Linked DNA regions of Nothobranchius furzeri. The main gene of each other region encodes a partner of the protein of the gene in region 4 in a complex. Links are inferred from orthologs where the notes say so. Each region holds a gene or a part of one and is shown on either strand. Other genes may lie near its edges. The genes, in order: flcn, fnip1, lamtor5, lamtor1 and lamtor3.

Region 1 (6,411 bases), on a different chromosome or scaffold from region 4:
AACTAAAATATAGAAACATGACATCTACTTCATCTGGCTGAATAAATTACCGCCCTCAACAGCAGTCGAACAGGCGTCCGCCCACGGCAAAACAAGACGAAAGGCCGTTCCTTTAACCGCTAGCCAGCGCAGCAACTGACTTGCCTGAGATGCTGTCGTAGGCATATTTTGTTAGAGCGGAAGTGGGCGGAGCTTCACTGAAACTAATCGTTTCTATTCCAGGTATAAACTCAGGCTGATGAAAATAACTCCTATTTAAATGGTAAATGGCCTGTATTTGATATAGTGCCTTCTAGAGTCCTGGAACCCCCCAAGGTGCTTTACAACACAACCAGTCATTCACCCATTCACACACACATTCACACACTGATTGTGATGAGCTACAATGTAGCCACAGCTGCCCTGGGGCGCACTGACAAGGCGAGGCTGCCGAGCACTGGCGCCACCGGTCCCTCCGACCACCACCAGCAGGCAACGTGGGTTAAGTGTCTTGCCCAAGGACACAACGACAGCGACAGACTGAGCGGGGCTCGAACCTGCAACCTTCCGATTACGGGGCGAGCACTTAACTCCTGTGCCACCGTCGCATTTAAGATAAAATGACATCTCAATAGTGCCGATGGTAATGTTTGATCATATACTGTGTGTACCGTTACTCTCAAAGGTTTAAAATAGCATCATCTGGAACCTTTAAAACATGGTTGGTGGTTTCTTCCCAGCCTTTAATGTGCTATCATATAGCCTGGCCTGCCAGACTCCTCCTCTGTTTAATTCTGCACAGAGAAAGGGTCTGGGAACTCCCCTAATCAAATAACCATGAGGAATCTAACCGAGCCAATCAGCGCTGAGCATTGTACGTCACACACCATAACGCCGAGTTTGTCGTAAACATGGCGCCTGAAGTGGAGTTCGCTGCGGCTCTTTCCTCTGTTCTAAATTACTTGAATGTCTTTAGAACCACAACAAGCAGAAGTGCTAAAAGCCTTTCTTCTACCCTTTCTCAGTGGCCTAGTGGTAGAGTGTCCTGAGACTGGGAGATCAGGGGTTCAACTCCTGGTCGGGTCATACCAAAGACTGAAAAATTGGGACCCAATGCCTCCCTGCTTGACACTCAGCATTAAGGGGTTGGATTGGGGGCTTAAACCACCAAATAGTTCCCGAGCGCGGCTGTGTCTGCAGCTCACCGCTCCCCCAGGGGATGGGTCAAATGCGGAGAATAAATGTCACACACATACCTGTGTGTGTGACAACTAATGGGACTTTAACTTTGACTTTAAAAGAATAATAGATGTCTGCGCCGTTGCTAGACGCCATTTTTTAACTACAGCGTTGCATGGTACAGTCGGCATGTACGTCTTTTTTCTCATTGGTTATTTTTGAGCTGTCTAGTCCCGCCCCTCAAGTGCCTCTCCGCCTGTGAGTTACCAGACTCTTTGTGCAGAATTAAACAGAGGACGAGTCTGGCCGGCCAGGCTAGCTATCATCTACATTACCAGACAAATATTTGAGATCACTTGAAAATATCATGTTTCTTTCTGCTGCGTGCCAGAACCCTGTTGCGCTGATCTGGGAACAGCTGGCCCATAGGGTATATGGGGGGGGGGGGGGGGGGGGGTCGCATTAGATAATCTGCTAGAAGGAGACACCCAGGAATGTCTGTGGGCTGCCAGGCTGTGACTACTGCAAAGCTGCTCTGTGGTTTTTGAAGAAAACATTGATCATTTCCATTAAATGATTTAGAATCATGTAAAAAAAAGGTTTTTGTTTGGACATTTATTTTTATTTTTTATCAATGAACAAAGTTCATTCCACAGTCGTGTCTGGGCCGAGCCCCAAAAATTCTCCAAAAGTCTTTTAATCACTTTCTAAATCTCGACAAACCGGGGTTTAACTGTGAAGTGGTGTGTCATGTTTTCCTGGATCAAATGCCTTTCCCGATCGACTCTGTGATTCACTCTTACGGATTTCAGGCTGACTAGTTGAACAAACAAAAACACTAGCCATAGCAGTGAATGTCTGATGAAATCATGTCTTTCTACCTGTTTTTCTCTCAAGAAGAACCAGCGTGTCCTCTGTTGGGGCTCCTTCAAGGAGCTTTTCTGTCAGACGACAACCACAGGCTTTCAGTAACCTAAAAAGGAAGTGAAAACACACATCAGCTTGGTAAGTCATAAAAGTAACGTGGAGAAATCACAATGGCTGGCTATTAAAAGTCTATCTCAACTCACCAGCTGAAGGAGCAATGCAGGCTGGCCCAGAGATTGGGATGCTGAGTGAGAGAAGTTAGCGATCGGGCTGCGTTGCCACTTCTTTGATGTGGAAAAACCGCAGGAGAAAACACGCTGTTCATCCTCAGAGCTCGCTGGGGACAAATACCCTGTTCAGTGTCAAACACCTGATGGACAAAAAGATGGCAAAACAGCACAAACTGACTTATTAAAATGACAAAGTGTTTGTCCAGTAAAAAAAAATGAATGCACAGTCTACATTTAGGCTCTACCTTTAGAGCTGTGCTTTGCAGACTTTGTATAGTGAGTTTGAGGTGTCGTAACAGGAAAGGCCAGGAGTTGATGAGGTAGATCCTGTCCATGGCCACTACAACTATACTGTACCAGCGCTGAAACCCACGGGCCAGGCTGTCCTTGATGAAGAACGTGTGTGAGAACACAAACCCGTGTTGTTCATCACCGAAAAAGATCGGCCCTTCACGTCCAGGGCACACCTGAAACCCAACAACAAAAAGACTCGCGTTTTTGGAGGAGGGGAGGTTAGAAAAGGTCCTCCTCAGTTAGATCAGGTAGAGTTTACCTCACAGCTGAGACTGCGTACACAAGCCTGACGAACTACACTGAAAAGCTGAGACTGTCTGGGGTGCTGATGGCTCACAAAGCGAATTCCTGTTTCATCATCGATGCTCACGAAGCCTGGGTGAGACGCAGGTAGAGATCGGCATCCCTGTGAGGCATGGACAGGAGGGAAAAGGAGAACTTCGATTACAGGATTATTAAATAATGTTGCTGCTCTATCTTCTTAAACCATAATGAGTTGTGGCGGGTGGCTGCTCATACTGAGCCTGGCTCTTCTGGGGCTAAAAGGGAGTTTTCCACTCCACTGTCGCTACACACTTGCTTAGTGTGAGCACTGCAATCTGCTGAGTTCCTTTGTATAGAAATGTTTACTATGTGAAGTGACTTGAGACGACTGTTGTCGTGACTATAAATAAACTGAATTGAATGAACCTTCTCCAAGGTTTACTGTGGGTGAGATCCCATCACGCATGCCCACTCACCTCACACATCTCCCCTCTTTGAGACACAGACCCGCTGGCCCTCATGGTCAGACCTTCACCCTCCCGATCAGCATCTCTGTCCCCTGGAACCGGGGTGCCCACCTGAGAGGAGGGGTCTGGGGATGGAGGGTGTAGCGCCTCGGTACAGAATAGTGTCCGAGGGCCATGGAGCTCACAGAAGTGACACAAAGCTACCAGAGCATTCATCTGAGAAACGGATCAAGCGTTTATGAGAATCTAATCAACGTAATTTATGACATAGTTTTTATTCACAAGCTAACACCCGTTTAAGCCATTTTAACCAGCAGCAACGAGAGGATCTCACCTTTAGCACTGAGAGTTAGACTGGAGCTCGCTGCTGCTTCACTCGTTTGTGTTAAAAATGTATAAACAACAAAAGCGTGACGCTAAATCAAATATTTCGTCTACATGTCTCGTATAAAACGCGCGAATTCAAGAGAATAAATCCTCTCAGCACTTTCTCGTCTCAGTCTCGAGTTGTTAGCAAACAGCACAGTCACGTGACCTCGAGTCACGCGCTCGGACACAAATCATGACGTACGTCACGGAGTTGATTAAGTTTAATCATAATTACTATTTTATGATTTATTTAAAATAAAATAATGTCGTCTGTGAGCAGATAGTTTTCATATGGGAAAATGTGTTGCTAGCATTTGACTTTACGAAGCGTGTTTCGTCGAAAGACAACATAAAACTACATTACCCAGAGTTAAGTTCGAGGAGGGTAAAGGTTACGAATGAGTTGGTCAGCGTTTCTCTAGAGTGCTAAAAAGTACGGAGCTACAGAGGACCGTGTGGTAATGTACTTTTAATAAATATAAAACACCATTTCTTAAAACGTTTGTATTTGTGATTTAAATGTAATTAACATTGTATAATGTTGAATTTACAGCATGTGTGTTTACTTTATTAGCTCATCAGTAACTTCCGTGTTTCATTGTAAAGGAAAAGGCAAAGCCCAACAGGGACGTAGGAGCCTTTCTGAACTGGGAATGGCGTCAGACGGATCAGGAGTTCCCCCAGAATCCGCAGTGGACGGTGGAGGGACCCCCCCAGCTGAAACTAAAAGTAGGAAAGATGCCCAACAAGCCACGAGAGGTAAATGCCTGTTTTAGTGTTTGTCTTTTCTCATGTCTGTCATTCTCTCTCTCTCTCTCTCTCTCTCTCTCTCTCTCTCTCTCTCTCTCTCTCTCTCTCTCTCTCTCTCTCTCTCTCTCTCTCTCTCTCTCTCAATATATGTATATTTATATGTATATAAATATAAAAAAATCTGTATTTCTCTCTCTCTCGCCGTCTTTCTTCCCTGTGTCTACCCACCTGCCAGTCATGTTGGTCAGATTTGGTTCTGTTGTCTGAGTGAGCCTCCAGTGACTTGGCCATCTTCACCACAAGTTGCAGTCACTTCCTGTTGCTCTACAGATGCATCTTGTCAGTAGGTCACTGGTAATGGTGACAAGGATGGAGAGGGGACTTTTCAACCACAGCCTTCTGCTGAAGTGACTCTTCTGCAGTCATGTGTGGTGTAGAGTTGAGCAGAGATGCTCAGTGTGGTAGCCCCCTAACCATCTCCACATTCCAAGTGGTCGAAACAGGAAGATCTAGCAAACAATGGCTCTGAACTAGCAATGCAACTGCTTTGGTGGAAAACCCCTAACCTCACCTCTGTAACATGTAGCTCACCTCAGTAGCTCAACAGGTTGAGCGGGTTGTCCAGTAATTGGAAGGTTGCAGGTTCGATCACGGCTCCGGACAGATAATTCTGCTGTTGTGTCCTTGGGCAAGACACTTAACCCACCTTGCCTGCTGGTGGTGGTCGGGGTCCGGTTGCGCCTGTGCTCGGCAGCCTCGCCTCTGTCTGTGCGCCCCAGGGCAGCTGTGGCTACATTGTAGCTCATCCCCACCAGTGTATGAATGTGTGTGTGAATGGATGAATGATACACTGTAGTGTAAAGCGCTTTGGAGTCCCTACTCTTGAGAGGCGCTATACAAGTGCGGGTCATTTATCATGTTTGATCCTCAATGCCAATGAGTCCAACTGCAAAGCTTTCAATTTTGTGCCAAAGGTACATTTGTGTGTTTGCAGATTAAAGTTTAAAGGACTGAGTACACACCCTAGGGCTGCACAACTAATAGTTATAAAAACCGCAATCTCAATTCATGCGTGTACGCAATCTCATTTCCAAATGATAAGGATTTTAAGCAGCTGGCTAGACAAGAAAAGGACAATGTTCTCTGTTGTGATCCTGCCATGGTCAACAATTATGCTGTCCTGTTAAATGTTACATTTTGTTAATAATTGCGGTTTACATTTTAACAAACACACATATTACCTACGTCTTTCATCACCTTACAAGCAGAGAGAACATTGTTCAAAACAGTTATCGTTTAAATTATTTAAAAGTTGTGTACGTAAGTTGATATGCAGGTAATAAGTGCAATAAATACTTATTTTGGATAATAATTGTAAGAGAATCTTGATCTCAATTTTAAGCAAACAAAATAATTGTCATTCTCCTTTTAACCAAAATTGTGCGGCCCTAACACATCCCTGATTATCTTCTGTGTTCGGCTTATGAAGCGTTTTTTTTCGTTGTCTTCAAAAACACCTGTGAACTCAGCAGTAAAGTCTTTTAGAGCATATCTCAGGTTAGTGTTGGGTTCGGGAGCTTTGTGTGAGTCGACTCCGCTCACACACCAGCAGTGTGAAGAGGATGGTGGGAGTGGTATTCTCTACCTGGTGTGAGTCACAGCTACAAAAATATTTCAAAAATCCCCTACTCTCATCTTTGTGATACTTACACACAGGGATGGACAATATATTGGTATCAATGTCGGTATCGGCCCAAAAATGTCATATCGGTGCATCACTACTTACACATATTATTGAATAGCTTTTAATATTTTAGATGGAAGCAAGCAGCAACAGCCACACCTCTGTTTCCTCATAAAAAGCAGTCTACCTTATTACCTGAGTAAATAACATAATGTGTGTGTGTGTGTGTGTGTGTGTGTGTGTGTGTGTGTGTGTGTGTGTGTGTGTGTGTGTGTGTGTGTGTGTGTGTGTGTGTGTGTGAGTTCTGGTAAGCCTTACATTGTGTTGC
Region 2 (6,362 bases), on a different chromosome or scaffold from region 4:
GTTAACTAGTGAGGCGCAGATATGCTCACTAGTTAACTAGTGACGTGCGGATTTGCTTACTAGTTAACTAGTGAGGCGCAGATATGCTCACTGGTTAACTAGTGAGGTGCGGATTTGCTCACTAGTTAACTAGTGAGGTGCAGATTTGCTCACTAGTTAACTAGTGAGGTGCAGATTTGCTCACTAGTTAACTAGTGAGGTGCGGATTTGCTCACTAGTTAACTAGTGAGGTGCGGATTTGCTCACTAGTTAACTAGTGAGCATATCTGCACCTCACTAGTACCTCACTAGTTAACTAGTGAGCATATCTGCACCTCACTAGTTAACTAGTGAGCAAATCTGCACCTCACTAGTTAACTAGTGAGCAAATCCGCACCTCACTAGTTAACTAGTGAGCAAATCCGCACTTCACTAGTTAACTAGTGAGCAAATCCGCGCCTCACTAGTTAACTAGTAAGCAAATCCGCACTTCACTAGTTAACTAGTGAGCATATACGCGCCTCACTAGTTAACTAGTGAGCAAATCCGCACCCTACTAGTTAACTAGTTGGCGTTTTGGGGCCCACTAGTTAACTAGTGAGCATATCTGCACTTTACAAGTTAACTAGTGATGCTTTTTTGCACCTTACTAGTTAACTAGTGGGCGCTTTAGGGCGCACTAGTTAACTAGTGAGCAAATCTGCACCTCACTAGTTAACTAGTGAGCAAATCCGCACATCACTAGTTAACTAGTGAGCATATCTGTGCCTCACTAGTTAACTAGTGAGCAAATCTGCACCCTACTAGTTAACTTGTTGACATTTTGGGGCCCACTAGTTAACTAGTGAGCATATCTGCACTTTACAAGTTCACTAGTGATGCTTTTTTGCACCTTACTAGTTAACTAGTGGGCGCTTTAGGGTGCACTAGTTAACTAGTGAGCAAATCTGCACCTCACTAGTTAACTAGTGAGCATATCCGCACCTTACTAGTTAACTTGTGGGCGATTTGGGGCCCACTAGTGAACTAGTGACACTTATTTTGCACCTCACTAGTTAACTAGTGGACATTTGTACCCTCTCTAGTTAACTAGTGAGCAGTTCCGCCTTCACAAGTTTACATGTAAGTGTCACACTGAAGCCACTACTAGTTCACTAGCTGAGGTTCCTCTGGCCAGCATGTTAACTTGTGTGCCGCATGCAAATGTTTGGGGTGGGATTTTACGAAATTCCGCACTGTGATTGGTTGTCATATTTTATTTTGACACAGGGAGCCAATAGAGAGTCTTAATTTGAGAAATTCTCCGCCTCCTAATTAGAATGCTGCGCAACTAGCTAGCTAGTGTGAATGTAGACTTGAACTAGTTTACTAGTATACATTTATGTCCTCACTAGTTAACTAGTTTGGACAATGGATGCATCAACTAGGTAACTAGTGAGCCTGCTGCCATCAACTAGCTAGCTAGTGAGTCATTAATGGTTCACTAGTTAACTAGTGGCACTGACCTACTCCAACTAGTTAACTAGTTAGGAGTTAAGCCTTCACTAGTTAACTAGTGTGCACATTTTGGCCATCAATAGTTAACTAGTGAGACACAAAAAACCTTCAACTAGCTGACTGGTATGCACTTTGGCCTTTACTAGTTAACTAGTGAGCCATTTATGTGTCAACTAGTTAACTAGTGAAGCCAAAATGTGTTCACTAGTTAACTAGTGCACATTTATGTCTACCACAAGTTAACTAGTGTGCACATTTTGGCCATCACTAGTTAACTAGTGAGACACAAAAACCTTCAACTAGCTGACTGGTGTGCATTTTGGTCTTTACTAGTTAACTAGTGAGCCATTTATGTGTCAACTAGTTAACTAGTGAAGCCAAAATATGTTCACTAGTTAACTAGTGCACATTTATGTCTACCACAAGTTAACTAGTGTGCACATTTTGACCCTCACTAGTTAACTAGTGAGACAAATACCTTCAACTAGCTGACTGGTATACATTTCTGCTTTTACTAGTTAACTAGTGAGCAGTTTTTGTGTCAACTAGTTAACTACTGAAGCCTAAATGTGTTCACTAGTTAACTAGTGCGCATTTCTGCTGCCACTAGTTAACTAGTGGGCACATTTTCACCCTCGATATTTAACTAGTTGACACAAACATGCCTAACTAGTTAACTAGTGGACAGAAATGGCTTACATGTTCATGACAATTCTGGCTGATATCCTGATATCAGAATAAATGCTCATTTGGCTTGCCATACAGACCAAACATCAACACAGCGAACCCTCTAACCACGTGGTACCCAGCCAATAATATCAGCCAATCACGTAATTTGTTGCAGCTACCACGCCTGCTGAGCCAATCACAAAAAAGCAGTGGGTTACTAAGCAGCTCCTGTGACTAATGCCTGTCATATGACTCTGACACCCATGGAGACAGTTACAAGGAACAAGATTTCCTCTCGGATTTAAAAACAAAAGAAAACTGTAGAGAATTTCTTTTGGTTGAAAATGCCTCCGACTCTCTTCCAGAAACTTTTCAACAAGAGAAGTGCAGTCTCGTCGCCGCCTCCGAGATGTAGCAAAGGGGATCCCGCTTTCAGGTAGCTGTTTTGTGTTTGTAAATATGTTTGTGTGCAACGTTAATTGCGCTAAAATTGTGTAATTTGTTAACCTGTGTGGATGTTTAACGGTCTTCTAGTGATACTTGATTTGTTTTTAGCCGGCTGGGGTGTACACAAAAAATCTTTATCCTTTAGAAATTTAAACCTTGGTGAAGGAAAGCGGTTGGAGACGTGGGAAACGTGCTTGTTGTTGGTGAGGAAGCTAACGTGCTAACGATAGCTCCTAGCAATGCTACTGCCCACGCTGCATTAGTAGCTTCCCTCGACAGCCGATTTAAACAAAAAGCCCTCATCGTTTGCAGTTGATACGAAGTTAGCACAAAATGCCTTGTCTGGAAAGTGTCGTTTTCCACTTCATTGCTATGAAGTTGCAGAGGCATGTCCTTGTTTTTTTTCCTCCGCGTGTTTCCGCTCGAGTTTTTTGTTGTTACTGGCGATACAGGCAGTTTATCTCTAGCTAGCATGAATAAATTGGTATAAGTGGCTTTTCTCAGCCTTGCAGACGTTGCTGTGTGGTTAGACAACAGTGGAGGACACTGTGTGCTCTAGCGGAGAGCATGTGATGGCTCAACTTGGCCACCAAGGCACGGATCAATGCCAAACAGGGCATCAGCCTGCAGGTCATTCACAACGTTATGTATATTTTAAAGGAAAATTAAATATTGCTTCTCACACACGTTTCATTTCCAAAGTAATTTTGTAAAAAATATAATTTCGAGTTTGAAGTGCTTTCATTATATTTATTATTGCCTGGAATCACAATGTTTCCATTATTTTAGCCCTAAAATTAGATAAAAGAACTGCTTTGATGAACATTTTTGGCTTTTTTTTTCAGTTTAATAAACAGGCAGTTAAAAATAACAGTTTGAACATTTGTATTTTTTCCCTGAAATACATGTTTTTAATCTTTTTAGAGACCACTGATTTTAGTTAAAAACAGGGGCAGATTTAGGACTGAAGAAGATCCGGGGCTTAACACACACACACACACACACACACACACGCACACACACACACACACACGCACACACATGACACGCACTAGTCAACATATATATTTGTCTTGTACCACATAATTTTTAATCTGAAGCTACTTATTAAGCATATTCAGGGCAGAGTATTGTTCCTGTTAATGGTTAGTGTGAGATGATAGTAAATATTCCCTTTCTTTCTCCAACAACTTTACCTGATAAGCTAACTTTAGGCAAACCAGCAGCACAACAAATATTTTCAAATAAGACTCACAAACCTGAGTCAACACCAGTCTCATCAAAGCTGGGGTTCTGTCGTTGTACTTTTGGTCTAAAAAACGTCCTTATGTCCATCTTCACACATGCGTTTCAGGCAGACTAGAAGAAGCCGGCTGCTGAAGGGCTTTTTCTTCAGTAGTGGAGGCTCAGGCAGGCTGTATACAAACTACTGCCAGCTGCTCCCTCTCTGTTGGACTTTGGTACTGCATGTTACTTCCGCGATTTAGATCAGGGGCTTTTCATAAAACATCCGGGGCTTCAGCCCAAGTAGCCGGGCCTAATGCCGCCCTCGGTTAAAAAGCAGCCAAATCAAAAAGAACAATACATTATTATATTGTTATTAATAATAATGTTATTTGAAAAGGGACCCGCCCACTGGCAGAGCAGCAGGCACCTTAATAATAATAATAATAATTAATAAACCTCTCTGCCTCTGAAGGTGTTTAAACCTGCAAAAAAGACTACTTCCTTTGCTTCTATCTCAATAAATACACAAATTGCAGATGATTTGGGTAATCATGTCAAATAATATTTTCCATTTGACTTTTGTCATTTCTACCTGTCTAATCAAACAATGAATGTATGCCAATGTACATATCATTAAAAAATGTCTTTTTAGCCAGAATTTTTTAATGAATATATAATTAAACAAAAGCCCTAATTTTATGGTTATATTAATCTGTTATTTACATGCTTTCTTTTGCCATTTCACCGATTTGCAGTGGCATTGTCTCAAGTAATTGTAAGCAAATGTTTGAGTTCTTGTGATATTTTTCAGGCCTAACCCATTTATTTTATTCCTGTTAATTACATTCAATTAAACGATGATACTTTGGGGGACAAAGGTGTTTAATGAGAGCAGAATACATGCGCATGCTGCATATGAAATGAAGAATATCTAAGACCAGTACTAAGCTGTATAAGTATTTATTGAGGTAATAGTTAATGTGGTAGAACCATGCATCTTTGAGAAGGTTAGCGTAATACTAGGAAACTCAGTTAATTTGCACATTTGTATGTTCAGGGTCAGGTATGCTACCAAGGAGAACGGACTTTAGAGTTGCAAATGCCTTTTCATTTTGAAAGATGTTGCTGCCATCTTTTCATGTTATTTTGGATATATATTTATATCCAAAAAGTGCACCTCCTTTGCGGTGCTTCTTGCACGTTGACCAATGTTGTGTCATAACATTTCTGCAGCTGTAAAGGTGCCCTGCACCCACTGATGTAAAGGCTGTGTGTGTGGGCTGAAGGGAGGGTGGAGGTGGCTGGCATCAGTCCTAGAGCAAACAGACAGTCAGCAGGCGTTTCTGTTAACTCAGTGGTCAGCTGTGCTCTTCATACCTCTGGCATAAGCTCTCCATTCATCAAGCACCAAGCGGCTCTCCAGGGGGGAAATCTGTTAGGAGATGTGGTTGGAGAGGACACGTAGACGACACGGTCTATTTTAATCGAGGCCTTTTAAGAAAAGTGTCCTAGAGATGTTACTCTGTTGTTATTTTCATGCAGATCTCAGACAAATCTAATCAGATTTGTGTAAATGTATATTTTATACAGCCTCTGCAGCTAATATTAATAATTGACAAAAATAATTCAAAACAAAAAGGGTTTGTTTTGCATCCGTGTTGGCGTGTACAATTTGCCACCCGCCAGAACACCGTCAGAGGCGTTCAGAATACCAGCGAGGGCAGCAGGTTGGCTGACGCTTGGAGGAAAGCCTAAAAAGCCTCTCCTCTTTCTCTGGCTGCATCAGCTGACCACTGGCAGCATAGTGTACATTACACCCAGATCCTCTGGCTCTGCCAGGAGCTTTCTCCACACTCGGTGCCTGATCTGACAGCTTGCTGGGGAAACTTTCTTCTTGATCCAAGCCACACATACGTATGAATAAATAACTTTAGTCAGACAAGCTAAACTGGATTTTTTTTTGAACATCACTGAAAAGTAAGGTTAATAAGTTTAATCGTTTTTCAACCCTGTAAATATCCTTTATACACTAAGTTAGTAAATATTTATTTAACCCTGATCGTAACCCCACATAAAAGAATGTATACATTAGTATTTGCTCTTTTTAACTGGATCTATTTTACCTAGGCTCTATCTTCTTTCTGAAGTTTGACAAGAAGCCGTGTCTCTGGTTCCTGTTTGACACGTTTGAAATCATAGTTTCGTAACATAGTGTGTCATGTGAGGCTTGCATCAATCTCAGGCAGTCAAGGTTGTGGAACGATCACATGGCTGCTTGTCCACTCACTGCAGAGTCTGAGAATACGAGAGACACCTGTGTCTGTTGATGAATGATACATCCATGTATCGGTGATTATTCAGATTATGGGATGTAAGCCTGCTCCACTTTATGTGACCATTGTATTTTAACCCTTTAATCTCATGTGTATTTTGTCAGGATATCCTGTCAGATTTTGTATCCATATGCATGAATACTCTTCATTTCTTGCTGTTCACTTGTCAATGCAGCTACATTTTTCTCTTGGTGGCATCCCTTTTTCCCC
Region 3 (6,553 bases), on a different chromosome or scaffold from region 4:
TAAATAGAATTTAAAATATAAAAAAAATGTCTTGATTTGTTTTGATTTCCATGGATGGAGTTACAACAGGTTGATGATGTATTGATGCTGAGTCAGAGCTCATTTGCTGATCCACCATAAAGTCAACCATCTTTCCTCATATGTGTGTGTCACACCCATAAACATATACAAGTGTGTGTGTGTGTGTGTGACCAGAAAAGAAACTGTGACGTAACAAATCTAGGAAATGGTTCTGCGTACTTGCACCATTGCCTACGTGCATACTGGGACAGTGATGAGAGGCTGGTTGTCAACGGAAGCAGGCTTCTGGTGATTTAAGATGCACAAGGAGAAATATGAGAAAGAGAAGAGGGGAAGCAAAGAAAGAAGAATTAGAGGAAAGGAGGGAGAGAGTAGCCCATAGGTTAGTCAGCAGGACATTGCACTGTTGCTGCTCCAGTGATGGATTCCCCAATGCTGCAGCCACATAATTATACTCACCCATTTCTGCTCAGTCAGCAGGAGCACTGAAGCCCCACCATCTTGGAATAGGCAGGCGAAGTTATACAGGATGGAGAGCTCAAATGTATCAAACTAACTTTAGAAGAAATATCTTTAAAATACTCCATCATCAAAGTGCTGCAAATGCTAATTTTAACAAATACACAAGGTGATTTTGAGCGAAGGAATGCATTGAATTGTACAGACATGCCAAAAATATTGTTTTCATGAAGAACCTAATAGGAATCAGCTCTGATGGTTTGGATTCCGGAAATGATTCCACTTGTCAGTGACAACATTAATCAAAACCACATTTTCAAGTAACCATGTTATGACTGCAGACAATGAGGCTAGATGGGCTTCAGTTCTATCTATTTAATGAAAATTATATCAATTATCTCAATGACTCATCTTACATAGGACAGTGGAACTTGGATTATAATGGTGTTTTTAACATCCATGATATAATGATAATGATAATTATTATTATTATTATTATTAATTATTAATAATAATTATTATATAATATAATAATTATCAAATCAAATCAAATCACTTTTATTGTCACGTCACATGTGCAGGTACACTGGTACAGTACATGCGAGTGAAATTCTTGTGTGCGAGCTTCACAGCAACAGAGTTGTGCAAAAATACAGTAACGTAAAAACATGTAAAATATAAAAATGGCTAATCCAAATATACAAATGAATAAAGTAAACAATAAGATAAGAGATATAAAATATATAGAGGCTGGTATGTGCAAAACAGTGGCATTAATGTACAGTATGGAATGTGTAATGTTGGAGTTTCAGTAGTGAGGGTGAGGTGTCTGTGAAGTGTTCAGCAGTCTGATGGCCTGATGGAAAAAGCTGTCTCTCAGTCTGCTGGTTCTGGACCGGATGCTGCAGAACCTCCTTCCTGATGGAAGTAGTCTGAACAGTTTATGGCTGGGGTGACTTGAGTCCTTGATGATCCTCCCCGTTTTCCTCAGGCACCGCTTCTTATAGATGTCCTGGAGGGAGGGAAGCTCACCTCCAATAATCCTTTCTGCACACCGCACTACTCTCTGGAGAGCTTTGCGGTTGTAAGCGGTGCTGTTGCCATACCAGGTGGAGATGCATCCAGTGAGGATGCTCTCAATGGCACAGCAATAGAAGGTCCTGAGGATACGGTGGCTCATGCCAAATCTTTTCAGTCTTCTGAGAAAGAAGAGGCGCTGCTGTGCCTTCTTCACTGTATTTTCCGTGTGCACTGACCACGTAAGATCCTCTGCCAGGTGAACTCCAAGGAAACGGAAACTGCTCACCCTCTCCACAGCGTCGCCGTTGATGGTGATGGGGGGGTGTATTCCTCTGCTTCCTCTGCTCCTCCGGAAGTCCACTATCATCTCCTTTGTCTTTGTGACGTTGAGGGTGAGACTGTTGTCCTGACACCAGTGGGTCAGGGCGCTGATCTCCTCCCTGTAGGCCGTCTCATCGTGATTGGTGATGAGACCTATCACTGTGGTGTCGTTCGCATACTTCACAATGATGTTGGAGTTTCTCGTGGCCGTGCAGTCGTAGGTGTAGAGTGAGTACAGGAGAGGGCTCAGCACACACCCCTGCGGTGCACCAGTGTTCAGTGTGACGGGGGATGAGGTGGTGCCGCCCATAACATTATTATTATTATTATTATTATTGGAAAATTTAATAAAACTTGAAGGAAAATGCTAATTCTTTCTATCTATCTATCTATCTATCTATCTATCTATCTATCTATCTATCTATCTATCAATCTATCAATCTATCTATCTATCTATCTATCTATCATCTATCTATCTATCTATCTATCTATCTATCTATCTATCTATCTATCTATCTATCTATCTATCTATCTATCTATCTATCTATCTATCTATCTATCTATCTATCTATCTATCTATCAATCATCTATCTATCTATCTATGCCTATTTTGTTTATGTAATGTAAATGGAAAGATTTTGCGTTCTCTCTCTCTCTCTCTCTCTCTCTCTCTCTCTCTTTCTCTTTCGCGTCACACTTTTTGGTCCTCGTTGTGACTCGTAGCGCACGTGACGGTCAGCTGACTCTAACCGGAAACGTCGATGAAACTGTAAACAATTAAACCTTCTCTCTTTTCGTTTGTTAACGATGGAGTCGACTCTTGAACAGCATCTCGATGACACGTACGTTAAAAATCTCACTCTAACTGCTGACGTACTTCACTTTTTGTTTCATTAAAGCCTTTCTCCTTGTTTTTTTGTAGCATGAAGAATCCAGCAGTTGTCGGTGTGCTCTGCACAGATCACCAAGGACACAACCTGGGCTGTAAGATTAATTTAAAAAAGATTTACAGCAAAATGTATGAAACATATTCGGTTTAGTTAGCTTTTACAAGGCTACGTCAGTGTCGTGTTCTTTTTTTTTTGAATAATGAAATAACTTAGTTGCAGCAAAAGCTATTAATGTAACACACAAATAATATTATTTCCTTCAGTTTAGCTATTTTCATCTGTAAAGGTTGAAATACATACTACAGTATAGTTGAAGTTACTGTGAATCATACATTTCAACCATTAAAATCTCAACTTATTTCACATGCCAGAAAATCTTCACAGTGTTTGCACTGTTAGCATAATGAGATTAGCATTTCTGATGGAATGAGCTCTTCTGGCTGTTTAACAGGTCAACAGGAAGCTGCTGTAATTAAATTTAATCACAAAGGCTAATGAGGTATAATTAAAATTAAAATGTAATGTTTTTATAATTCTCTAAACACAACCAATCCAAAATGATGCTTATAATTGTTTATTGTTGATTATTACTCATAAACTAATAAATACTAAATGCTTAATAACCACGCAGTTAGTTAGTGAGGTCATTTATGAACATTATTCACATACAACAATTACTGTCATTGGGAAAGTGAATACTCCGTGGAATTGATTCTGTGTTACTTGTTTGGCTTCCATGGTTTAGTTTGAACTTTGATCTCTTCTACAATTCATCAAACTTCAGGGAGATGAACATGCTCTAAATTTTACTTAGGCTGTGAATTCAGAACATATCCAGTCCATTTTCATCAGCTGTGCAATGAAACACAAAGCAGAACAACTGATGATAATATAAAGTAATTATTTTACTTCCCAGAGGACTCCTGCAGCAGCTGACAGGTATCATGTGGTCTGAAGAATCACAGCTTGACGGTTGCTGGAGCATAGAACTTGCTGGAGGGGCTGTCTGCCCTCTAGCTGTCTTGATGGAGATGGAGAGTCACTGAGATCAGAGAAATCTGAGCTTCGCTCCTGGACCTGTTAGCAACCCAGACTTTGATAATTGGAAGAAAAATGATGGATATATCAGTATATATATTTTTTCTGTTCGGTTTAATTAATATTTATAACAGAGGCATCCAGCAAAGTCTAAGCTCTTTGTTAGCGTCCTCATACTTTTATTATCTTTTTAGGTCTTGTTGAAAGTTATTTTGAAAAGGTTATGATGTAACTGTTGGAAGTGGGTAAACATGAGTATTGTTTTGTGTAGTCAGTAGCAATGTTTCCCTGGTACATGGACAAACCTAAATGAAATAGTCAAAAGATGCAGAAGACAGAAACCAAACAATGAGTTCAACATGATTCAGATCCTCGAGAGACCCCAGAATTCAGAAATCCTCAGTCTGGACTAAATAACAGCAGTGGGACAGAAATGTTTGTAATATGTTAACAATCCTTCATAAGGAGGTCATTGTTGTATACAGGTTTGGAATTAACACAAATCACAGAAAATGACTGTTTGAAAGATGCACTGATTTCCTTTTTTTAAGACATTTAAATAATTCATTGCGTGTTTCTTTTCTTTTTTCTTTTAGGTCGTGGCTCCTTGTCTGATGAACATGGTGGTGTTGTGTCTGTTTTGTCCAAACAAGCTATGGCGCTCACCAGAGACCCAACAGTCACCCCGACCGTGTGCCTGGAGTCTGAGTCAGGGTGAGAGCACTGACCGGGTTTTAGCTTGACTTGTAATTCTTTTTAAAAATCTATCTCGGGGTATTTAAGATGTACCTTTGGGGGTTCTGATTAATGTGTACGGAGATCAATTACTCTAAAAAAAGCTTTTTGAGAGAGATCAGAACCAGAGACTCAGGGTTCTGAATCTGATCCAGTGGTTCACTGTCTCCCAGCAGCTATTAGCATCCGGGTCCGAGCCTTCATCGCGGTTGCTAAAACCAGTACGCTTATCTGGTTCCTCCAGTTTCTATTTACTTACCAAAGGCAATGCCATTTGTGACTTTGAACTGAACATGCTCGGTTCTTGGCATTAGATTCCAGAATGTTGTTCATTTCTTTCCCAAAAGGCAGCTGAGATATTTTCTTGAGACTCCAAGCCCTTTTTAATTTCCCCTAATAACCTCGTAGACATTTAAATAACCCCATCATCATTAAAAACGGGTCCAAAGTTGAACTACAGAATAAAAAATTAAAAAGCCAATGTCCTCTTTAGTGGACGGAGGCTCCATGGAGGATGGAGAGGGAGGAAGTCAACCAACTGTGGGATTTTATTTATGTCGTTGTGCTGCCATCTTCTGGTAAATGAACATCTCGTCTTTCAGAACATTTTACCAACCCAATGACAGCTCCTGAATATTTATTTATTTAAAATTACTGCTGCGAACTTTCAATCTCAGATATAATTTGTTATCTCAAAAGTCTAAATAACATAAATACAAATACAAACGGTTTTGAGTCCGATTCAAGGCTTATTTTAGCTTTTACATCAGTTATATTCAAACAGTATTTTTAGGTTGTGATTGATCATCTCCACAGCCAGAACTCAGTGTTCCATGAACCACTGGGCCATCGGGACCCCAACTTTTGGAACCACTGCTTTAATTATGTTTGAAACCATAAAACCAGAATTTGTGAATAATTTTGTTTTTGATTTTTTACACTTAGTATAAATGATTTAGAGATCAGATTTTTTAAAATTATGATAAACCTTTATGCTTTATTAAAGATGGTTAAGGTATGAAAATCTGTTTCTTTTTATTAGCACTGATAACTCTATTGGTGCCTTTTAGTAGAGTTACAGTAAGATTATTAAATGAATGTCGTGGTGAATGTCTGAGAGGTGGGACCGAAGCAAACGATGATCACCAAAACACCACTTTTCAACCTGATCATCCGTGTGATTTCTGATTATCAGGTGAATATTGGTGTTTTTATTGTTTAACAGAAACATTCTGGTGAGGAGTCATGGCACCATCACGGTAGCGGTTCACAAGATTGCATCGTGAAGACAACAGGAGCCTCAGGAGTTTTGGGATGAAGACATGAAACATACACAATCCAAACAAATCAGAGAAAAGTGGGAATTACACTGATTTCCTGTTTGCTGTAGATGTAATATTGAGGAGTATTGTTGACTGGGTGTGATGAACAGAACTGATCATGTTGTGTGAAATGCAGTGAAGGTTGTTTGTCTGATCTTAAATGCCACAAACACTCAATAACCTTGATTAAACGTTAACTTGACTTTCAGCTGTGTTTTGGAGTGTTATTTTGTGGTTAACCAGTTCATTATCTTTGGCAACACTTGTGCATTCATTACTGAGATGTTAGAACACAGGGCTAAACGACTTTTCTGTTCTGCTGATTGGAAAATCAGATGTGCATGAAAAAGACTCCAACCATGTGCGTCTGAGGCGCACGGGCGCACCGGATGACCCGAGTAAAGTCTGTAGTGACTGCAGAGGTGGTTTCTCTCCCCACCCCATCAACCCTCAAATGGGGGCTCAATGCGCCGTCCCGGTCACGTGGCTCTCCGCGGTGAGGGCACCGCTCTCTTCTGCTCGTCGGCACAGCGAACGATGCTGAGGCTGAGCTGAGGGATGACATCCGCCCGCTCCTGCGCGTAGAGGCAAAGTTATGGCCCGATCATCCTCGGAAAACAAAAAAGGAAGAAGAAGGGTCCCGCAGCCATTCATCTCAAAGTCCCGCACCGGTAACGCGCATGCCTGTCAGGGGCGCACAGCCACGGAGCGTGAAATCCCCGCATTACGCGTCAAATCAAAGCAACT
Region 4 (6,522 bases):
AATGACTCAGACATGATCATGTCAAAGTCAGCGTCACTTTAAAAGAAGACATCCGTGTTTACTGAATGTTTTTAATGAACTGATTTAACCAAAAACAAACAAAACTTTATAACTTTTTGGTACAAGCCTAAGATATTACAAACAGTCTTCCATTGTTAACAGAAAAAGATGCCTAAATATATCTCCCCCGCCTCCTGGATCAGTTGTGTGGTATGAATAATCGCAGCCTTTTGCAGAGCATCCCTTTAGCAGTTCCACATCAGCTCACAGCGCTTGCCTCCAGAGAGACAGCAGACATTTATAAAACCAGAAATATAAACAATCAGGAAAAAGTCTGGGATTGAATCCGTCTAGGGCACCTAGTTTATCATGTCACGCTCATGGCCACGCTGCTACGTCAAGCTTCAGATTAATGCAGTTGATTAAGGATCATAGCTGAATATCCAAAAGTCATGGCTGTTTCATTTAAAAAGTCCTATTTCAATTAACCTTCAATAAAGAGCACTTCACACAATCCTTAAACTGTTAATAAAGTTGATCAAAAATTCTATACAAAGGCAGGAATACACAACGTACATCCCTGCATCCTCCACACCCGTCTCCACGTCTGAGGTCAAACATCTCTGTAAACTCAAGGCTCCAGGGAGGCCTAAAGGATTCCTGGTGACATCCTGGAAGCCGTCCTGCAGCCACCACTCTCCCCTCCGTGTGTGTTCTCACACACCAGAGATCAACCGTTAACGGCTCACTCATGGTGTGGATTCGGTTTGAAATGGTTAAATTGATGTTACCTGTTCAGATTTAAACATAACTACAGCCAGGCTGATGTGATGGCTGTTGATGCTGATCCCAGATTAGAAGAGACTCAGCTACAACCTGCTAAATTATAGCGACCTCTTAAGTTGTGGTGGACAAAATGAACACAATTAAAGTTGAACCTGTGAGGTTTCAGTGAATAAACCACGAGTCGAGTTTCTCACTGTGGCTCTGTTACAGGTGATTCTGCCATGGTGTGAAGTTAAACCTTGAGGTTGAACAGAAAGGCCGTGAAAATCCTATTTATTAAAAAATCAAAGAGGAATAAATCTTTTCAATTTTTCCCACGCCTAGCTTAACTGAGCCATGATTCACACACAGTGGTGTTCTTGATGAAGAATACAACCATGTCCATCCTCGGTTTCTCAAATGATGACTGACAAGCACCAGTGTCCTTTAATAATTTCACTTAAGTACAGAGTGAAATTATGCACAGTCAGTCTTTAAGAGTCACATCTAACAAGGATCAATAGCTTTTAATAAAACGTGGGCTGAAGGATGATGACGCTGGAGTGACTGACAGAGTGAGTGAGTGACAGAAGGGAGAGAGAGAAGGATGGGAGCAACGATATGCAGGTTCAGAGTCTCAGAATCAGGGAATGGCAAACTGGACCACCAGTTCCTCTTTAGCATCCACTTTGATTTGAGAGATTGCACTGTAAGCATAAGCCGCTATCTTAGACACCTGCGAAGGAGAAAGAACAGTTACTGTTGGTGTGCTAAAGATTTCATCATGTTAAGAATGTGATCTGTGTGTGATTTACCTGCTGAACATCTGAATATGGCACCAGGTCACTTGCAAGAACTTGGTGGGGCTGGCTAGTTAGAGAGGGAAGAGTGTCTGCTTTCTTTGGGGGCAGGTTGGTGCTCAACACAGCCAACTTTGAACTATAAAAAAACCCAATCAAAAACAAACTTGCAATTAATTTGAGTTAAAATGACTCAAAAACAAATGTTTTCCATGAACTGAACGGCTGTTTATTCACAAGTACGTTTTTAGATGCAATATAATTAGATGCCCACTAGAGGTCACTAAAAAGGAGGAGGCAAGGCCGGCCTTATTGTAATTTTGAGGTCTGGTGTTGAAATTCCTTATTTCATGTCAGCAGTTTTCTTCTTCCCCAGCTGTATGGCCTCCAAAAAGACAGTTTTACGTTGTTCATTTCCTGAATGACTTTAATAAAACATTTTTAATTAAAGCCCAAATAAACTTCAGATTCAGTCTCATCAACAACTCTTTCAGGTCAACTAGTTCCAGAAGAATAAAAGTAGAACCTCCCATCAAAAATAAAGTATCAGTCTATAACAAACATCTACTCGTCTACATGCCTGTATTGTCTAGCTTTGTCCATGTATTCACGCTGCTCCATAACCACTGATTCCGTTGCAGAGACATCAATGATATTCCTGGAAGACAAGAAAAACAACGTTAGTTATATTATGATTATTCTCTATTCCAACACTCTTAACGGATGCTGTAGTACGATGCAGTCACACATCATCGGTTATAGTCCCAACATCCGTGTAGTGCTGCACTAGTAACCTGGAGGTGCATGACTAATACCTTCTAGTTCAATTACACAAATGTTATTTCACATGATCTAAAAGTCATTGATAAAGTTTCTTTGGATGGTAAATATGTTGTGTTTAGACTCATCAGTGGAAGCGTCTTACTGTGCGGCCTTCGTGAGGATGGATGTAAGGATAGCCTGCTCAGTTGCCTGTGCAGAGGGAACACTGGGAGTGATCCAGTCGGTCCCATTTGGAGGTTTGTTGACAGGGTTCGGATGGGGTATTAGTGACTCCGTTTCACTGTTCTTCTAGAGCAGAGTTGGAATAAAATAGAAATAATGTGATCAGGTAGTTTTAGCAAATTATACGTTTAATAAAACAAACAAGAGACTATGAGATTAAACGATTAGTTATTAGATATGTTTTCTGGGGAGAAGGAGTAAACGTTACACAAAATATATGTAGAAGAAGAATTAATCAAAGTTTGTTTAAAACAACTTTCATGCATTATACAAATGTCCGTCCAACTTCTTTACGATTACATGTTATAAACAATGACAGAAATGTATAAAGGTGGGGGACACTCATTTAATAAGTAGATTTACAGTGGTGTCTAATAGGAATGAATGCCTTGCAAGTTGTACTCTGGAGGAAAAAAAGCTCCAGTGCACCTGTTTCAGGAACTAGAATATTGTCACATTAGAGGAGAACTTCAAATGACAGGAGCTATACTCTTACGTCCTGATATTTGGAAACCTTGTCTCAGATAACACAAGCCTGATAGAGTTCTGCCATGTGGTAGAGTTGCTAATGCTAATAGTAATGGTTAGCTTCTACTAGCCGAGACACACTGTTGTTTCCTGGATGATAGACCAACAACAGCCTTCCCTGTGAGTCATGATGGGTGAGTCCATGAATGTTAAGTGACAGTGTGACGTAAATCTGTCAGGATTTTCTAATCCTAGCGTTTCATCGTCTGTCTTCTATCAGAAGCTAATGCTGGAGATAGGTGTAGGAGACTATGTTCATGTTCTGCCTGAATAAAAAACTCAAGAGTGGTCAGTTATAATCAGAAATGATCATTAAAAGGTTTTTCAGTGTTCCAGACCTTTAATTTTCCTTTGTTCAGAAACAGAGAGCTGATTATATACAATCTTAAATATATCAAAGTCATTCTGCCTTAAAATTTACATTTATCTGAAACTGTAAAGAAAAATGTATATTTTCAGACTAACATAGGTTAAATAGACTGGTTGTACCCAGGTTGTACCCTAACCCTAAGATGAAATGTATTAATCTACTTAAAGAGAAACTGATTATGAGGAAGGATGAAGACAAACTGGTTTATTTCCCTAAACTAAAATAAAACTGGGATATTTACAGCAGCCATATGACACCACGCACATCCACATGATGTTCAGTTATTTAGCTCCTTGACACACGGGTCACAATTGATTATTTAGCCAATAAGTAGAGAAGAAATCAGTCTATTCCTGATTAGCAGGACCTTTGGGAGGCTATAAATCCTCATGCCCCACTAAACAGGACAATAGCAGAAAATGATGTGCTCGCAGCTTTACTAAACACTTGATTTTTGCCCTCAGGACAGTTTATTCTGAACTGTTTCTGACCTGCGCTAACTCAAAGGGCTGCCTTTAGCCCAGGCCTTAGCAAGCTGACGCTTCCTGTTTAATGTTACGGACAACAAACGAGTTATGTGTGAACATGAAATGGCTCATTCACTAAACACTGTCAAGACACCTAGCCAGCAGAACTTATTTAGTGTTTGAATAAACGAATGAAGTTAACTGTTTTAGCTTTAGCCGCCAGCTAGCTAGCTACCTACCTCCCTGGAGTTGTCGTCCTCGCCACTGTAACAGCAACCCATGGCAACGTCCAAGGCTGAAACTAAACTACCCCGGCTTCCCTGCGCTCCTTCAGAAACGAGCAGAGCTCTTCTTCCCCTGCAAACATAAAGCTTTGTTTGTTTCTTACTGTTGTTACTACGGCCCCATACAAAAGTAGGAATCTACTGTCCACAGCAGCTTCTGAGTGAGGCTATCACATGACAGCAGCTGTGGTGCAACAACAACACAACAACTACTTCCGGTATTTGAGAAGCAGCGACGTCCCAGGACACGTGAGGGCAGAAATGTTGAACGTTCTTATCAGAAACCTCGGCAGAACTAAAAATGGTGACTGATAATTAAAAAAAGCATAAATGTTCCAGTCATAGGGGCTCCCAAAACAGGATTTGCTTTTTTCAATAACTTTATTGAACAAAGTTCATTTACAAAATAAGAGAACAAATGAAATACAAGCAGAATACAGCATTTTGCGTTTTTGCCACAGTTAAATGTTTCATGTTAGCAAAAAATAAATAAATACGGGGAGAAAATAACCCAAGTAAATAAAAGTCTGTTTTCAAATGATGGGAAAAAGTCTATATCCAAATCAGTCCAGGGGAAAAATTACTCCCTAAAATTATAGTTGTAAAACTTTGTGAGACATCAAGAGCATGCAAGCATTTCCAATAACTGCACATAAGTCTCTCACATTGGTGTGGAGAAGTTTAAGTCTACAATTCATTTTAAATGTTTTTGGCATGTTTAAATTAAAAGTTCAGACATTCTCCATGGGCCAGGTACCGTTTGTATGATGATCTTTTTCTGAAACTCACTGTTAGTTTCCCACAAGATGAGTCACAAATCTTACAAAACGTTTCACTTTTGTCTCAACGGTCCACAAAATGTTCATCCATCCTTTTGTTAAACCAGATTATCCATGCAGGCATCTATAGGCAGAGACTCAAACCCAGACCAAGGGCAAATGGGAATCTGATTTTTTTTTATAGGACATTGGTTTGTGTAAGTTGGACAGAGTTAGAAAATAAAGCAAGTCAGCACAGGTACTGTTCTACTGGGAACCTTTGCTCCTTCCTTTTATGTGGATGCAGTTTTAACATTTACAACCTTCATGGGAGTTGTTGCATCTCCTTTTTCTCTCATGCCAGCAGCTGTTTCAGATGGGAAATGTGCCACTAAAGTTCAAGAATAACTGTTTTTTAGCTTTAAAATGTTGTTTTAGAGAAGGGTATCCATGTTAAATAACTGATTATTGTGTAAGATAATGAGATTGCCTCTTTCCTTTTTGTCAATCTAAAAACATCAAGTGTTTGATCAAAACTTTTCCCAAGCTTGCTGTGCAGGATGAACAAGAGACAGAAACAGGATGAGGCATGTTGGTGAACAAGTGGCAGCTTCTCTGAGAAAGATGAAAGGGTCTCAGATGCCTTTGACTGAGTGCATAATAAAAACAGTGTAACAAACCAGTTCCAGTTTATTTCAGTCAATGTTTTCAGATGACAGCACAACTCATCAAAAATTTTGGTTTTCCTATTTTTCAAATAATGCATCAATTTAAATGCAAGCACATTTACAGCTTTGCATTTAACTTTGTGTTTCAACAGTTTAAATTTTAAATAACTTTAAGTTGTTTTTGTTGTCAGTGTTTGATTTACAATATTTTAAATTCTTTAAGGGCAAAAAACAGCACATTAATGAGTGATAGTTTCAAAAGCTGTCAAATTAATCTGCGTTTATTTAGAAACAACTATTTATACAATCGTTTTATACAGTAGTTTATACATTATGTTCAGGATACATGCATAAGAAACTATAAGCAAAGCAATAAACACACAAAAATCTGAGCTAACGACTTTAAAGAAGAAACTGAAAAATTGGCGCGTGGTGATTGGAATCGGCAGATCTTTAAACATATCTGGCTTGTGGAGGACTGGCCAAACTGAAACTTAAAAGTCTGCTTTGTTTGTTTTTCTTTTTTGTTTCAGGTTCATGAACGCATCACTGCAAGCATTAAAAAGATATGACATTTTCCCTTCTGAACTCCCCTACTCTACAGATTAAGATTCATAAACTAAAGTTTTCCTAAACTGTTGTTATTTGTGAGAAACATGAGCCCAAAGTTGGTTCTGGCAGGTCAGAGCCGAGCAAGAGTCTAAAATCATAATCGAGTCATCTCAGATTGAGCTCCTCTGGTGATGTCAGAAGCAGCCTGATGGGTGGGATGGACTGGGAGGCGCCCTCTCCATAACCCTACCCTAAACAGGGAAGATCTGCTCTGAAGACTTCACCAGGAACAAGAACAATGTCTGTTTATCTGCTCAGCTTTGTC
Region 5 (5,752 bases), on a different chromosome or scaffold from region 4:
AACCCCACGCTTGCATGTGGAGAACTTGCAGCTTCACAGAAAGACTGCAGTTGGGTTTTGAGCCTGCAACCTTTTTGCTGCGAGGCAACAGTTTAACCCTCTCAGGCTCAAAATAGGTTCTGATGAAAGGACGAACAACTACGTCCTTCAGGGGTTCTTCTGATGAAAAACACTCATGAACTACGTATGTGGGGTAGCAGGGTAGGTAGGTGCTAATGTGCAACGCCTGCCTCCAGAGGGGCGATACCTGCACCGCCATGTTGGACATCACCAGCTTGCTGGTGGAGATCAGGGGCACCTTCCTGCCTACCAGTCATTCTCCCCTCTCCCCGCTGCTCTGGGGCTCACCTGCACCACCGGTCCCTCCAACCACTGCAGGTAAGGAGTGCCTTGCCCAAGGGCACCACGACTGTGACTAAAACATGATAATATGTGCCGTGGAAATGATTCATTTAACTATTAATATGTGTGAGGAAAATGATCAAACCTCGTGCGTTTGTGTTGTGAAAATATAAAAATAAACTTAACACTATAAGTGTCATCAATTTTATTTTAAAAACATCCATCCATCCATTTTCAGCCGCTTATCCGGAGTCAGGTCACGGAGGCAGTAGCCTAAGCCGGGACACCCAGACTTCCCTCTCCCCAGCCACTTGGGCCAGCTCTTCCGGGGAATCCCAAGGCGTTCCCTGGCCAGGTGAGAGACATAGTCCCTCCAGCGTGTCCTGGGTCTACCTTTAGGTCACCTCCCGGTTGGACGTGCCCAGAAAACCTCACCAGGGAGGCGTCCAGGAGGCATCCTGACCAGATGCCCGAGCCACCTCAACTGGCTCCTCTTGATGTGGAGGAGCAGCAGGTCTACTCCGAGCCCCTCCCGGATGACCGAGTTTCTCACCCTATCTCTAAGGATTGAGGGTAGGAACGTAGATCGACCGGTAAACTGAGACCTTCGCCTTCCGGCTCGGCTCTCTCTTCACCACGACAGACCGGTACAACGCCCGCATCACTGCAGATGCAGCACCAAGGATTGAGTCTCTGCTTTATGCAGATGATGTGGTCCCGTTGGCTTCATCAGAACATGATCTCCGGCTCTCACTGGAGCGGTTCACAGCCGAGTGTGAAGCAGCTGGAATGAGCATCAGTTCCTCTAAATCTGAGACCATGGTCTTGAGTCGGAAAAGGGTAGAATGCCTTCTCCGGGTCAGGGATGAGGTCCTGCCCCAAGTGGAGGAGTTTAAGTATCTCAGGGTCTTGTTCACGAGGGAGGGAATGCTTGAGTGCAAGATTGCAGCATCGTACCACTCGATCCTTCTTTAACGCCTGAGCTGATAAAAGCATGATCTTACAACTGCTGTTGTCTGGCTATCTAAGTTCATGAGGGGGTCTATCTCAACTCCCAGGTTGGTAATGAGAGACCTCCTAAAGGGTGCCAGGGAGGACAGGTCGCCATCAGGAACTTTCCCAGGGCCATTTGTCCCTAACAGCGTGACCTTGTCATCATTGCGCCTGAGGAAATGTATTGCCATCCAGTTTCTGTCATCGAGACGGTCCAACAGGGACCGCTCAGAGGCGGCGCAGACGTTCCTAACATGACCTGATAGTCAGCTGTACTGTGTTCAGGTGAAACCAGATGCACTGCCTGCGAAGTAAAGAGAGAAAGGTGTGTGTCATGGAAACATGCAGAAAAATCATGCCAGTTATAGTTTGTTGTTTTTTAACATTCTCATCACACGTACCGTAGTTTGATGCTGTTACACGCACTTATTACAAAAATCCCTAGTGTGTGTGTGTGTGTGTGTGTGTGTGTGTGTGTGTGTGTGTGTGTGTGTGTGTGTGTGTGTCACGAAAAAAAAAAGGGAGATTGTATGATCCTTGTGATGAGTGATCAAATATTTAAAAACCGTACAATCATAACAATATGCTAAACAGTCATACTATTAGTGATGAAACGGTAAAAAAAATCACGTCATATAAAAACGTCAGACTTTCGAACAGGTTGTAAAAATATCTAAACGTATCTTGACATTTGTCCTGTTGTAAAGCAGGGTAATACTGCCCTCTCGTGGCTAAAACCACGCAGCACAGACTTCCGTAAACACTTCCGCACAAACCGGAAATAAGCCCCGTATGTCATGTGACTTAGCTGGTAGCTGGTAGCTCTTGTTTAGCATGTAGAGCGTCTCAGCGGTGTTTAAAGTCATCTGAAGACGGTATTTGTGCATTTTTTATAGCTTATGTGTGTTTTGTTTAGCGGGCCGTTTGTACCGGAAGCAGCATCTCTGTTGATTAGCTGACATGCTAGCTTGTTTTATTTAAACTTGAGTGTAGACTTTGAGTTAGTGGTTTTTGTGGGAGGTTTTATTTGTTAACATTCGTTTTCTGCCCACAGAGACTTAACTAGATCAGACCGTCATGGCAGACGTGAGTATGACCAGTTTTCTCAATTTTAAAGAACTTTTACAGTTTTTTAAACAAAGTAAGCTAGGTGTGTTTATGTTGCAAACGGAGACGGTTCATTTTGGTGTTTTCTAAGGTCTGATCAGATGCAGCTTAAAGCAGATTTCTCTAGAAGCTGTTTTAATCAGTTAAATGAGTCACGAGTCTGAGATTGATTTGTTTTGTCTTGAGACGCTGAAATAGGAATTAAACCAGCAACCAGACATTTAAAGCAGCAGTCTTTTTATTATTTTGCGTCCAGTTGTCATTTTGTTCACACAGCACTGATGGAGTGGTTTGTTGTCTTACTTTTATAATAAAATGTTTAATCCAGTTTTTGTGGGTTTCTCTGCAGGATTTGAAGAGATTCCTGTACAAACAGCTCCAAAGGTTGGTGTTTCCATGGGAACGCTCAGTGTTTCACCCGTATGTAGTTGTTACTGATCCATTTAAACTCTCCCAGTGTTGAAGGTCTTCATGCCATCGTAGTGACGGACCGAGACGGTGTTCCAGTTGTGAAAGGTAAGGAGCCAGTGCTAAAGTCCTCCTCACCTGCCCGGGTAAGGGGGCCATGTCCTCATTTCTCATTTTTACAGTTGCCAATGACAACGCCCCCGTCCAAGCGCTGAGACCCGGTTTCTTGTCCACCTTCGCTCTGGCCACAGATCAGGGCAGCAAACTCGGCCTGTCCAAGAACAAGAGCATCATCTGCTACTACAACTCCTACCAGGTCACACAGCAGCTCCTCTGAGCGTCGGCACAGGGATGCATTAATGTTCATGCCTTTACATAAGTCTCCATGGTGATGCGTGTTTCTTAATCAGATTGTGCAGTTCAATCGCCTCCCCCTGGTTATCAGCCTGATCGCCAGCAGCGGTGCCAACACAGGTAACATCTGTCTCTATGGAGACAAACAGATGTTCAGTCTGGTTCAGTGTTCTGTTCTGTGTTCTCAGGTCTGATCATGAGTCTGGAGAAGGAGTTGACTCCTCTAATAGAGGATCTGAGGCAGGTGGTGGAGGTGACATAGTCTCCGACTCACCAGAAGACTTGCTGCTCACCACCATCCTCACGATGTGTTTGGGTTCTGTAGGAAATTCTGCCTGCAGCTTGTTCAGTGTGGACCAGATTCATTCACGTTGCTGTAAATGTTTCCATCTGTGCTTTTAGTCTGAATAAATGTGTGGGTTCTGGGCACCAGAGTGGTTCATTTAGAGTTAAACCTAAAGAATACAGATAAGAACCTCAGAGCAGACGGAGTCCAGATGGTTTCAGAGGCTTTAATTTAAACATTCATCAGTCATGAACAAAGTGTTTCCACAATAAAACTGGTTCTCCTGCTTCTGGAAACTCACATTCTCATGTGGAGATATAAATAAGCCACTCACATGTCAGTTCTACCCACAATGCTTTGCTGCTGGCATACAGCATGGCGAGCATCAGAACCCTGACATGTCTGAGCTTCCAGCTAACTGGTGAAGCAGTTGATCTTCTGATGGACCCATAAAGATCTTCAGAATGAACAGAATTCATTTAAAATATGAGTCCTGTTCCGGATGGTTCTCATTCACCGTTTCCACGACAACCTGGAGGAGGAAGCTGCAGACGAGTGTCATCGGCCTCTTCTTACCTGAGACTGGAAACACATAGTTGGTGGATTAATGGTTGAAACTGTAAATACATTCAGAAGTATCAAGTCCTCTGAGCTTCAAGGCTCCTTGGACTCGTCGGTTAATTGAAACATGAGGGAAATGGATCAGCTGGACTCACATCCAGAGACGTGCATCTTCATCTAACCTACTTTCTCCAAGACTGAGATCATGTCCACCTGACTTCCTGTAGAGGTCATGACCTCAGGCCACCAGCTCCCTCACTTACATGCAGCCGCAGGCCTCCTGATCCAGTTCAGACTAGGGTTGGGTGATCTGGATCATTTTTCCCACCAAAGCGATGCACGGACTGATTAGCGAACACAGAAGAAGCCCAAAAATAGATTTTTTATACAAGCGCAGCGCATGTTTGCTGGAAGAGAACCCCTAACTCATTTTTATTCATATTCAGTCCAAACAAGCGGCTCAGAGTGCCCCAGGGACATAAACTACGTTTTCACTTGGAGTAGGAACCTTTCACTGCTGCGGCCCGAACGCCGCGTGACCCCAGCTGCTCATCTGCAGCTTGTGAATGGTCAGATGTCTCCAGGGAGCTTGCTGAAGAGGTTATGAGCTTCTGGACTGTCTCAGGCTCCTGGATGTGTAAATGTTCTGGGTGGATCCACGCTCCCCGACGCACTCGAAGCAGGAGCTGATGAATGACGAGCGCTACTTTAGTCAAAGTTTTAAACCAGGAAACCTTTCTCCAAACCAAATAACCAGAAGTCCCCTAAGTGAGCCATCTGGTCACCCTACTCGCAGCCCCTCAAGCTGCACCGCTGCCACATTTACGTACGCTAACACACAAAAACACCAAATAGTTTTGTTCTCAGGAATGATTAAGTAATATTTTCACTTTCAAATAAGCATCGATGCAGCTTTAACTCAAAACAGCAACACAGTTAAAAAAAGGAAAAATCAGGGTTAGTGGTGACTTGTGCCATTTTTAGACTGGCCTGCGGGGGGCACTCGTGGTGACCCCAAGAGCACCTTGGTGCCCGCAGGGTCACCACGTTAGTGACCCCGCCCTAAAGACTCGGGCTGAGACACAATCAGCAGATGAAGAAATCTAGTGGATTTTAGCAAAGAGGAAGTGAGACAGGAAGTGTTTTTTTAGTTTGACTTACAGACGTCTGACAGATGTGTGTCTGACAGATGTTTACCTGAAAGATGTTTACCTGACAGATGTTTACCTGACAGGTGTGTGCCTGACAGATGTTTACCTGACAGATGTGTGTCTGGCAGATGTTTACTGGGCAGATGTTTACCTGACAGATGTGTGTCTGGCAGATGTTTACCTGACAGGTGTGTGTCTGGCAGATGTTTACCTGACAGATGTTTGGGCATCTGAAGCTGGTTTTCCACTCACCAGTTTCCACTGGAGGATCTTGATCCACTCGTCGGCCTCCACCGCTGTCTTAGCACACAGATAAAAGGTTCGCTCAGGAAACACCAAACTGGACAGAGAAGAGTTAACAGAACAGAGGTCAGACGCTCCGACTCTTAACCAGTCAGGGAAGCATCATTTTCCTGTTTTCCATCGACATTGTGACGTTTGAACCCGTTACTAGTTTCCAGTTTTATTTTGAAATAATGTCTCATGTGCTGGTTGACTTCCTGTTTGTGTGTCCACAGTCCCGTCTTCCTCTTCCTCTTCCACTTGTGTG

What was found.
Region 1: lamtor1 (region 4) and flcn share a complex: the UniProt entries of both Homo sapiens proteins name them as parts of the lysosomal folliculin complex. The link is inferred for Nothobranchius furzeri from reciprocal best matches to the Homo sapiens genes LAMTOR1 and FLCN.
Region 2: lamtor1 (region 4) and fnip1 share a complex: the UniProt entries of both Homo sapiens proteins name them as parts of the lysosomal folliculin complex. The link is inferred for Nothobranchius furzeri from reciprocal best matches to the Homo sapiens genes LAMTOR1 and FNIP1.
Region 3: lamtor1 (region 4) and lamtor5 share a complex: the UniProt entries of both Homo sapiens proteins name them as parts of the ragulator complex. The link is inferred for Nothobranchius furzeri from reciprocal best matches to the Homo sapiens genes LAMTOR1 and LAMTOR5.
Region 5: lamtor1 (region 4) and lamtor3 share a complex: the UniProt entries of both Homo sapiens proteins name them as parts of the ragulator complex. The link is inferred for Nothobranchius furzeri from reciprocal best matches to the Homo sapiens genes LAMTOR1 and LAMTOR3.

Annotation. Positions count from the first base shown.
Region 1 is NC_091745.1:76,767,658-76,774,068, forward strand, and holds the start of flcn (folliculin), read right to left. Parts: upstream 3,822-6,411; 5' UTR 3,615-3,821; intron 3,497-3,614; coding exon 3,290-3,496; intron 2,956-3,289; coding exon 2,809-2,955; intron 2,723-2,808; coding exon 2,501-2,722; intron 2,396-2,500; coding exon 2,229-2,395; intron 2,132-2,228; coding exon 2,040-2,131; intron 1-2,039. Other genes in the region: leng9 (leukocyte receptor cluster member 9), read left to right, coding at 4,303-4,408. UniProt on the Homo sapiens protein: Multi-functional protein, involved in both the cellular response to amino acid availability and in the regulation of glycolysis.
Region 2 is NC_091750.1:58,895,378-58,901,739, forward strand, and holds the start of fnip1 (folliculin-interacting protein 1), read left to right. Parts: upstream 1-2,383; 5' UTR 2,384-2,489; coding exon 2,490-2,581; intron 2,582-6,362. UniProt on the Homo sapiens protein: Binding partner of the GTPase-activating protein FLCN: involved in the cellular response to amino acid availability by regulating the non-canonical mTORC1 signaling cascade controlling the MiT/TFE factors TFEB and TFE3.
Region 3 is NC_091755.1:27,981,077-27,987,629, forward strand, and holds lamtor5 (ragulator complex protein LAMTOR5), read left to right. Parts: upstream 1-2,521; 5' UTR 2,522-2,628; coding exon 2,629-2,663; intron 2,664-2,743; coding exon 2,744-2,805; intron 2,806-4,345; coding exon 4,346-4,463; intron 4,464-5,709; coding exon 5,710-5,770; 3' UTR 5,771-6,014; downstream 6,015-6,553. UniProt on the Homo sapiens protein: As part of the Ragulator complex it is involved in amino acid sensing and activation of mTORC1, a signaling complex promoting cell growth in response to growth factors, energy levels, and amino acids.
Region 4 is NC_091753.1:34,139,132-34,145,653, reverse strand, and holds lamtor1 (ragulator complex protein LAMTOR1), read right to left. Parts: upstream 4,394-6,522; 5' UTR 4,217-4,393; coding exon 4,175-4,216; intron 2,637-4,174; coding exon 2,491-2,636; intron 2,224-2,490; coding exon 2,146-2,223; intron 1,705-2,145; coding exon 1,581-1,704; intron 1,502-1,580; coding exon 1,409-1,501; 3' UTR 1,044-1,408; downstream 1-1,043. Other genes in the region: sfrp2l (secreted frizzled-related protein 2-like), read left to right, coding at 6,496-6,522. UniProt on the Homo sapiens protein: Key component of the Ragulator complex, a multiprotein complex involved in amino acid sensing and activation of mTORC1, a signaling complex promoting cell growth in response to growth factors, energy levels, and amino acids.
Region 5 is NC_091758.1:44,826,460-44,832,211, reverse strand, and holds lamtor3 (ragulator complex protein LAMTOR3), read left to right. Parts: upstream 1-2,093; 5' UTR 2,094-2,210; intron 2,211-2,389; 5' UTR 2,390-2,412; coding exon 2,413-2,421; intron 2,422-2,791; coding exon 2,792-2,826; intron 2,827-2,899; coding exon 2,900-2,958; intron 2,959-3,032; coding exon 3,033-3,166; intron 3,167-3,260; coding exon 3,261-3,324; intron 3,325-3,392; coding exon 3,393-3,466; 3' UTR 3,467-3,631; downstream 3,632-5,752. Other genes in the region: dapp1 (dual adapter for phosphotyrosine and 3-phosphotyrosine and 3-phosphoinositide), read right to left, coding at 4,049-4,072, 5,455-5,542. UniProt on the Homo sapiens protein: As part of the Ragulator complex it is involved in amino acid sensing and activation of mTORC1, a signaling complex promoting cell growth in response to growth factors, energy levels, and amino acids.